Linked DNA regions of Cricetulus griseus. The protein of the gene in region 2 interacts with the protein of the main gene of each other region in a biochemical or structural test. Links are inferred from orthologs where the notes say so. Each region holds a gene or a part of one and is shown on either strand. Other genes may lie near its edges.

What was found. The genes of interacting proteins can lie anywhere in the genome.
Region 1: of the proteins of Cdh1 (region 2) and Ccnb1, one has a biochemical effect on the other in vitro, tested with the Homo sapiens proteins (3 studies listed by BioGRID). The link is inferred for Cricetulus griseus from reciprocal best matches to the Homo sapiens genes CDH1 and CCNB1.
Region 3: the proteins of Cdh1 (region 2) and Ctnnd1 form a complex in vitro, tested with the Homo sapiens proteins (5 studies listed by BioGRID and IntAct, with this or other methods). The link is inferred for Cricetulus griseus from reciprocal best matches to the Homo sapiens genes CDH1 and CTNND1.

Annotation. Positions count from the first base shown.
Region 1 is NC_048595.1:319,289,355-319,291,995, forward strand, and holds part of Ccnb1 (G2/mitotic-specific cyclin-B1), read right to left. Parts: intron 2,586-2,641; coding exon 2,403-2,585; intron 944-2,402; coding exon 785-943; intron 595-784; coding exon 358-594; intron 118-357; coding exon 1-117. UniProt on the Homo sapiens protein: Essential for the control of the cell cycle at the G2/M (mitosis) transition.
Region 2 is NC_048596.1:182,982,102-182,985,857, forward strand, and holds the end of Cdh1 (cadherin-1), read left to right. Parts: intron 1-628; coding exon 629-772; intron 773-2,730; coding exon 2,731-2,940; 3' UTR 2,941-3,142; downstream 3,143-3,756.
Region 3 is NC_048599.1:90,922,789-90,926,444, reverse strand, and holds part of Ctnnd1 (catenin delta-1), read right to left. Parts: intron 2,698-3,656; coding exon 2,580-2,697; intron 1,805-2,579; coding exon 1,651-1,804; intron 1,295-1,650; coding exon 1,277-1,294; intron 836-1,276; coding exon 767-835; intron 1-766. UniProt on the Homo sapiens protein: Key regulator of cell-cell adhesion that associates with and regulates the cell adhesion properties of both C-, E- and N-cadherins, being critical for their surface stability.

The sequences.
Region 1 (2,641 bases), on a different chromosome or scaffold from region 2:
CAGTGCTAAGCAAAAAGCTCCAGCTGCAATCTGAGAAGGAGCAAAGTGCACCATGTCATAGTCCAACATAGTGAGCTCCATGAGGTATTTGGCCAAAGTATGCTGTTCAACGTCAACCTGAAACAGATCCACATACATACCACTGAGCGTCTTTTGCAGTTTTGCTTTTGCGCTAACTTACAAAGCCCGATCTGTGACTACAAACTCTCAAATACAATGGTCCACAGAAGGCTTTAAGAGTAACCATATAATATCCAACCTGATTAGAAATAATAACAGCCATATCCTTCTCCCATGTACTTATATATCTACCGTATTCTCTAATATAGCAAAATAAAAATTTCAAGTAATGTGTACCTCTCCAATCTTAGAGGCTCTACGGAGGAAGTGCAGAGGCAGAGGGCGACCCAAACTGAAGTTTAGAACTCTTAGAATCTTCATTTCCATCTGTCTGATTTGGTGCTTAGTGTAAGTATTATTAGTCACAAAAGCGAAGTCACCTATTTCTGGAGGGTACATTTCTTCATATTTGCTTGCAATAAACATGGCAGTCACACCAACTAGCTGCAGCATCTTCTTGGGTACACAGTTATCCTGCAATTGAAATGTCAATGAACATGTACTTGAACATCTCAACTGGTGGCACCTTATCTCCCTGTAAAGACAGATACCTGCCTACCATGTAATGGGACCCTGGGTTTGACTGTCAGTGTCCACTCCCCCCTCCTCCAAGAGTCTTCTAGAACCCGGGAATGAAGAACTCTCATTACTTAATTACACATACCTGCATGAACCGGTCAATAATGGAAACAGTCATGTACATAGTCTCTTGCAGCAGCCTAAATTTCATTTGAACCTGTATCAGCCAGTCAATTAGGATGGCTCTCATGTTTCCAGTGACTTCACGGCCCAGTAGATATCTTGGTCTAACTGATTGTTCTTCCTGCAAAAGAAAAATGTCATTTATCCTGGAAGCATCACTCTATACGCCATTTGTGACCACAAAGACCAATTAACTAATATAAAACAGCTCCATGGCAAAGCTTTATTAAGAAAGCAAGGATTAAAATAGCATGACAGGCTTTTCATATTAAGATATTGTGACATTCAATTAACCAGTGGAAAGCAGGCCCACACTTACACCTGTCATAATCTCAGATCAATATCGATTTTACTAATTTCACTTTGTGATATAGAAAAAATTAATCACTAAGTTATATATCAGCTAGAATTTAGCTGATCTTCCAGAGGTCCTGAGTTCAATTCCCAGCATGCTAGCTCAACCATCTATAATGAGATCTAGTGCCCTCTTCTGGCCTGCGGGCATACATGCAGGCAGAACACTATGTATATGTACAAATATAAAAAAGAGAGAATAAGGAATTAAGAACAACTATGTTTAACTACCAAATTCAGTTCTGCAGTTAGGATACAACAAAAAAAACCTTTTAGTATTGACAAGAATTACAAAGTAGACAGCAAGCTTGGACAGATAATCCTATTGAGGACTACTTTAGGAAATATAAATTACGTCAAAAGGAATGGCAGCAAAATGGTTGACTCTTAAGTCAATCCCACCCATTTAAAGGTGGAAGGAAAACCAATTCTTGAAAGTTGTCCTCTGAGCCCCCCATATGCACCCTGTCACAAAGGATAAGAGACTGAGTAAATGAGTGGTAACTGAAGCAGACAGCGCGCTGGAGATATAGTTCAGTGGTAAAGCACCTCTTAGCATGCACAAAGTGCTGTATTTTGTTCCTAGGATTGGAGGTGGCAAATCTGATAAAACTACATTAAAGAACTGTCTTGTTTAAAGAGGTGAAAGCGTTAATGTCCTTAATATCCAACTGGGCTAAGTTGACAAAACCAACCACTTCAATTTTTTGAGTGTGCTCCTTTTGGGCACAAGTAATAGTTTTCCTGCCAAGCACAAGCACACTGACCAAAAAAAAAAAAAAAATCAGAAAAAACCCTTGTGTTGGGACAGCTATAAGTTCTTTAGCATCTTTATCTACCTCCTCCTCCAACCACAAGTTTGGGACTTTCCCCATGTGTGATGTGTGTGTCTACTTTAGGAAGAGTCATAATAGTATCTCCCCAACACAGAAATTCTGTATTCAACGTGACAAATCCACCCCACGGAGTTAGTGACTTTATTTCCATTTCAAAACAGAATTTCAAGTGTTATCTATTGTCAAGAAATGTCAAATGTGCTGTTGATAAAAATCTTTAATTGCTGAGTTAGTGGTGCACAACTTTTTGAGACCAGCCTGGTCTACAGTCAGTTCCAGGACAGTCAGGGGTACACAGGGAAGCCTGGACTCATAAAAACCAAAAGAAAAACAGTTCCTTAATAAACCTAGCTGAATTCAGTAAAATCGTATTGTAACAACAATACTGACCTCCAGCTGTCTGAGATAAGCATATATGTCTTTCACATATTCACTACAGAGGTTTGGATCAGCGCCATCATCTGCATCCACATCGCTCACGGCAAGAATTACATCAGAGAAAGCCTGACACAGGTATTCTTCTGCAGGGGCACATCCAGATGTTTCCATTGGGCTTGGAGAGGGATTATCAACCTTAAAAAAGAGAGACCCCATCAAACAAAGAGAAGCACATGCTACAGTCCAGGAAG
Region 2 (3,756 bases):
TGGAGCACAGAACCCTATAATCTCAGTGGTACACAAGAAGTCAGGTGTCTTCCCTCAGACACTCTTGTGTTCTCTGAAGTGTATGTTGCTTACATTGAAGCTTACAAAATCTGTAAATCAGTGAAAATTCAACTAATCCAAGCAGAGTTTTGCTGAAAGACCCTAAGCCACCCTTGTGTCCAGTCTGCTGCACAGGAGCCTAATCTGGGTTCCAGTAGGCATGCATCACTTGCTATCTTGTTACCTGAAGCCCCTCACCTGACAGAGTCTATTGTTAACAGGCCAGATACTACTTGCATCAGCTATGGTGGGGGAGGACTGAGTAAAATTTGCCAAGTAATAACCCCATAGTCATGTCCTGTAAAATGAGTAAGACATAACAGTTTGCACTCATAGAATCCCCTAGTGCTCTCTCTCTTTTTTTTTTTTTTTTTCAGTGTCAGTTAGGAGACGCTTAATTTGGAAACTGCCATTTCATATGCTTTTGGGCACACATTGGCCAATACCACACAGTAGGTAGTTTTAGCTTTGTCCAATGGCACAGTCTGTGATTCCATGAAGCAGACAAGCCCCGCCTATGCACCTACTGCTTTTTCACTTGTCAGCATGTTTCTGCTCTTCTCTCTAGGATTATGATTTGAGCCAGTTGCACAGGGGCCTGGATGCTCGACCTGAAGTGACTCGAAATGATGTTGCTCCCACTCTCCTGAGTGTGCCCCAGTATCGTCCCCGCCCAGCTAATCCTGATGAAATTGGGAACTTCATCGATGAAGTAAGTAGGCATCTCTTAACTTGGGAACTAAGGAGAAAAACATTCCAATGAGGAGAACCTTCGAATTCTTGCCTTATGGTGTCTATTTGTCCAGATCCTTGAGACAAAACCAAGATCTACTTGCAAAGCTTGAGTAGACTTAGTTTGATTTCATGAATGAGTCCCCTACATTCATTACAGCTGCTTGGGATAACATCTTGGGGAGCCTGGGGCAATAGCATCTTTTGAGCAAGACTGAGGACCAGAGTTTGGATCTGAAGCACCAACATAAATGCTGCGTGGGCATGGCAGCCTCCTTTTATTCTAGTGTCCAGGTTAGATCATCCAGAATCAGCAAGCTGTAGGTTCAGTTGTCTCAGGGAATACAGTGAAGATGATGTTGATGTCCCTACAAAGATCTTGCTTGGGCCTTCACGTGCACATGTGCACACACATGTAAACACAATCACAGGACGTGCACAAATGTATCCCAGTTTACCTAAGGCCCATAAAAATAGCATCCATCATGTAACATATCCATATGTTATTGTACATGTAGGAAGTATGTTCAGCTCTAACCAAAAAGCTTAAGCAGACAGTAGGAGATGCACTTTGTGCCTATGGAAGGCTGGGCTCAGCAGTCTTCTCTGTTGGATATAGAGCCTTTCTGCTCCATTATCTTGGCATCTTAGTTACTTTTCTATTGCTGTGCTGAGACACCATGACCAAGGCAACTTACAGAAGAAAGAGTCTAATGTAGAGCTCCAGAGGGTTAGAGTCCATGACTATCATGGCAGGGGACATGGCAGCAGGCATGCTTGGCTGGAGCAGTAGCTGAGGGCTCATATTTTGATCCACAAGCTGGAGGCAGAAAGAGAGACAGAGACAAAGTGAGCTAATTGGAAATGCCTGGACTTTTAAAACCCCAAATCCTGTTCTTGGTGACACACTTCCTCCAACAAGGCCATACCTCCTACTCCTTCCAAACAGTTCTACCTGAGGACCAAGTATTCAAAGATGATATAACCCTAGCTGGCTTTGGACTCCCTATGTATACCAGGCTGGCTTTGAACTATGTAGCAGAGTGTCTTGGTTAGGGTTTCTATTGCTATAAAGAGATTAGAGATTTTTTTGGAGACAAGGTTTCTCTGTGTAACCCGGGTTGTCCCGAAACTTTCTTTGTAGATCAGGCTGGCTCTGACCTCACAGAGATCCTCCTCTGCTTCTTGAGTGCTGGGGATTAAAGGCGTGCTCCACCATGCCCAGCGCAAGGCAACTCTTAAAAGGGAAAACATTTAATTGGGGCTAGTTTTGAGTTCAGAGATTTAGGTAATCATGGCAGGTGTCACACAGGCAGACATGGTCCTGGAGAAGGAGCTGAGAGTTCTACATCTTGATCCTAAGGTAGCAGAAATAGTCTGTGTCCCACGTTGGGCATAGCTTGAGCATAGGAGACCTTAAAGCCTGTCCTACACAGTGACACACTTCCTCCAACAAGGTCACACCTACTCCAACAAAGCCACACCTGCTAATAGTGCCACTCCCTATGGGCCTATGGGGGCAATTTTCATTCAAACCACCACACAGAGGATGACTTTAAATTCCTGATCCTTCAATTTGCCTTTCAGGGTTAACATTTAGCAATGATAGTTTGGCGTCCATCCTTGAGGACCTTCTGGGCTGAACTGTTATCTCTATGGGCTAGTCTGATCACTCATTGTTTTTAGCCTCTGTCTATACTCATTGGTGATAGGAGGTCCTTACTCTCATTTCTGGGGACCCCCATCCTGACATGCAGCTAGCTGTCCATCTCTCCCTGCTGACGTCGTATAGCTTAACAACCCTGTTTAGGGAAAGCATCCTGTGGCTTGTTCTTCTGTGTTGAAGTGTATGCCTAACTGCTCACTGGTTGCCTTTTCATGTTTTGGGTGTTGCTTACCTCAGACACACAATAATAAATATGGTGCTCTTCCCTTTAGAATCTGAAGGCAGCCGACAGCGACCCCACAGCACCTCCTTACGACTCTCTGTTGGTGTTTGACTATGAGGGGAGCGGTTCCGAAGCTGCTAGCCTGAGCTCACTTAACTCCTCTGAGTCGGATCAGGACCAGGACTACGACTATCTGAACGAGTGGGGCAACCGCTTTAAGAAGCTGGCTGATATGTATGGTGGCGGCGAGGATGACTAGGGGACTAGAGAGGAGTCCCTGGGAGATGCAGAATAATGTTGCCTTTCAGATTCTTCCTTGAGTTTCTAAGAGAGAGACTTACCCAAGATGCAGTTTGCATCCCATTCTACCAGTCTACTGTGTGTTAGGTTGTCACCTATTCTCAAAATCGGTTTTTTATTTTTACAGTGCTAGGATTTAAACTCTTCCACTGAGTTATATAGGCTTAACCTCTCCTTCTTTATTTTTAATTTTTTAAAATTTTAATTCCCCCCCCCCCCCCCCGTGGATGAGGCTGAATCTGGGACTTTACAGTGTGAGATAAGCACTCTTGTTACTGAGCTGTAGCCCCAGTTCAAATCTTTTATTTCAAAATGGCAGTTTCAGTCTCAGAAGGCTCAGCTAGCACTGGAAGTTTTCCTTTATGTTCAAGAGGCAGGGGAGGGTGTCTGCCCTACTTCTGTGTCACTGTGTATAGGAAATGGTTTGTTTTTGTTTTTGAGCTAGGGATCTAGTCAAGTGTCGTGTCCCCAAGCCCTTCACCCCACACTAAGACTTTTAAATTGTGTACTTTCCCACAATTTCTACATTTGTGTTCTGTATTCTAATACGCACTTATGCTCCTGAATTCTGTTGCCCTGCCCAGGTGCTTTTCTATGATGCAGAAATGACTGGGTCCTTTTCTGGTAACAGACAGGTGTCTTGGTGTGGGTGCAACTGAACTGGATATTGTGTGTTTCAAAGACCTTTCACGGGTTTCCTTCCTTACCTCTGGAGCACTCACTTGAAATGGGCATTCCTTATCTGGAGTCAGTTTCTCAGGCGAAAGCTGTAGTG
Region 3 (3,656 bases), on a different chromosome or scaffold from region 2:
ATAGTGTGACCCTATCTCAAAAAACAACATAAAATAACAACAACTAGTCCATGGCAAAAATAGAATAGACATCAATTCTATCATATTCAATTCCTGTCTCCTTCCTCCTTGACTTGTACTCCATAGCTAAATGAAGCCTTGTTTTCACCGTGAGTAATCAGGCTTAGTGATTCAATCTCTCAAACAAATTATTTCTGATTTAACTCAGTAATTCTCCCCACCAGGAATATAACTAAATGAAAGGACAGCCTGAGATTTAACATCACTTAACTAACATCTTTTATATTTATGGAAAGCTAGCAAGTTTATATTTATTAATACAATGAGCCCAAAAATCCAAGCTGCGATAGATTTCTTCTGACAGTAAGGTTCAAGATCAAAAAATAGTAGCCACTTAGCTAAGTCTCTGGCTTTTCTTTTCCTTTTTTGAGGCATTCTCTCACTCTCTACCCCAACCTGGCTTTGAACTCACAGCAATCCTCCTGCCTCAGCTGCCCAAGTACTACGTTTGCAGGCAGGTACTATTACATCCAGTCTAGCTTCTGACTTGAGACTAAATACTGTGAAGTTTCCCAATATTTTTCAACATCACTTCAAATCCAACAAGTCAGAGAGAATTGTTAATATAGTGCTACCATGTGAAATAGTGACTCTGCTTTCTCTTCACATCATATAAATCTTTTCGCCTTTTACCATGTGCAATAATGTTACCATGTGCAAAAACTGTATCTGAGCTCTCTGGAGACTGAGAAAAAGGAAAATTTACCTCGAGCAGGACTAGTTCTTTTAGGGAAATCCACTGTATCATTTGCTGGATCCTCTGTGGGCTTTTTCCCTATAAAAATGGGAGAAGGGTAGAGAGAATTCAGTAAAGAATTTTTAAAAGAAGGAAAGATTTCACCTCAGTTTTTCATCCTTCAGTCAGAATTTTCAGATCAGAGATGCAGCATCAAAAGAGGCAAAAGAAGGAAACCCCACACATACCTGTCCAAATAGGGTGGTGCAGAACAAGGACCAAAATCAGGCAATAGATTGTTACAAAAAGGATAACCACTCTTGCTACTAAGAAAGAGTTCTTATAATGGAGACTGCTATCCAGAAACAGCAGGTCAAAACCATAACCCAGAAGAGCTAAAACTTATTTCAATGCTTTTCCTCAACTAAAATTTTCCTACATGCATCCACAGGGAAGGGTTAGACAAGGAAATATTAGGGAAGGTAAAAACCAAAACATGCAAATTAGAAGGAGATAAGCGCCTTAAAAGATTGCACTCACCTCTGGAGAACCACTCATCTTCCAGTGCATCACCAAGGTGGAAAGCGAGGAGAGAAATGAAGGAAGAAAACGCAGGAGAAAGATGTCAACAGGATCATGGGCAAGTACACAAGAAAGCAGAGGAACAGGAGGAATAGGGAGGAAGGCCCCAGATTAGTTGAGTTCTTGTCTTTCAATACCCCATTTGCCAATACACTAACAACCATCACCACCATCACCATCACCACCGTCAAAGCATCCAGAACAAGGGGAGCAGCAGCAGAGCAAAAAAGGACAAGTCTCCACCAGGTAGACTTCCCGACTATTTGTAAGTCCTAAAAAGCTAAGTGGTCCCTCCCTGTCCCCCACATTAAAGAACAGGAACTAAGACTTACCTTTGCCCTTCTTGGCCCCAAAGCAACTGGCAGCATGTGGCCCAGTACTATTAGCCACACTGGGAAGTGCCTCTTGGTAGCGTTCAGCCTGTGGGATTTCTCGATGAACTTGATATGATAAGTTCCGAAGGAGGCAAACACAGTTCTCCACAAGCTTAGGGACACAAAACAAAAGGCCCAATTGGAAAAGACAATGTTTGTGGTGATTTCCAGGAAATCCTGTCTCCATAATTTGAATATTAAAGTATCAACCCTAAAATGCATAATTCAATCCATCTTCTCTCAGGTTGCTTTCTCAGTGCCCTAGGCTCCTCAAAATCCTTGTTATCTTCATGCTAACAGAAGAACTAACTACAGACATATAATGGCTTCTGAAACTATTTAATGATGTGACATTTAGGTCATTGTTTTCCCTACTTAGAAAACGTATAACCTAGGAAGCTACTGAGCAGCTTTAATATATATGGGAGAAGGAGAAGGGGTAAAGTCATTCACAGCACCTGCTGCACAACAAGCCAGGCATGATCTTGAATGTACCAATGTACCTGTAAACCCAGTGCTATAGGAACAGAGACGGGATTGCTGAAGTATATTTATTGCTAGTCTAGCCAAAGAATACAACCTCAAGGTGAGACCTTGCCTAAAACGAATAGGGTGAAGAGTACCTGAGTGACAAAGGACACCAATGTTTTCCTGGCCTGTGCTCTTGTGCACTTGCACTGAAGTACACATACACACACACACACACACACACACACACACACACACACACACACACACACACACAAAATACAGACACTTTGCTTCTTCTAAACTCAATGCCCATTTTAAGGAGAAGGGGTTGGTATTTTATATTATCTGATAGCCTGAAGTGGAAGATCTGAACCACGGTTACCTTGTTAACAAAATTCACTCAGTCATTAACTTACCTTGCTGTCTGAATCCTTCTGTCCAATTTCTGCCTGAACAATGAAAATGAGGGCATCAACTAAGCCATCACATTCCCGAAGTTTCCGGCGAGCTTCACTCCTCTCTGAGCTTACATTTCTAAGGGAAAACACAAAGTTCTGAAGATGACTCAAGTCCCTGATGCCCTCTTTGATATCTTTCTTCATCTACATCTAAAGCTTCCTTAAAACCTTTTCTATTCATTACAAATAAACAGTTCATACCTATTAAAAGCAAGGCATTACAGTTGGAAACTGACTGATTGTCTTCTAAACTTTTCATTAGCTTGTGGAATCAGGCTGAAAATGTATACCAGGGGCTGGAATGGGGAGACAATCCCAATAACCAGCACAACATGGTAGTTCAAGCCCCAGAAGACCTGACACCCTCTTCAGGCCTCCTCAGGCACCAGATACACATGTGGTACACAGAAAAATATGCAGACGAGACACCCATACACATAATAAGTATGTTTTAAAATGTATACCACAGCTCAAAATGGTAGTCCACACTTGCAATGCTAGCACTTGGGAGGCAGCAGCAGGAAGATCAAGAGTTTGAGGCCAGAGTGGACTTATTAGAAAGCAAAACCCTATCCACTACCTCCACCACCACACCCAAGCATATGTGCACTGCAGGCGTGAGCCCATGTGCATTCCTGTGCGAATGAACATCAGCAGTAGAGATATAGCTAAGTGGTAGAGAGCTCACCCAAGCATATACAAGGCAATAGGTCCAAATACCCAGCACCACAAAATGGTGGTTTGTGAGAGGGCATACCAACATCAATGAATTCAGACGGAAGCATCATTTATTTTACAGAAGTACAAATATAGGGAATGATAAGGTGCCTGATTTGAAATATGGATAACTGAGACAGCAACTAACACACACACACAAGTCCAGAACCAGATAAGAACCTTGTATGTGGGAGGTTCTAAGCAGGTATTTACTTAACTAGAAGAATAAAGTCAAAGAGGAATAAAAGTGACGAGAATGGGAGGAGGAAGGAAGGGAATAAACACACGAATGAGCAGGTAAACATGGTGCACACAAGA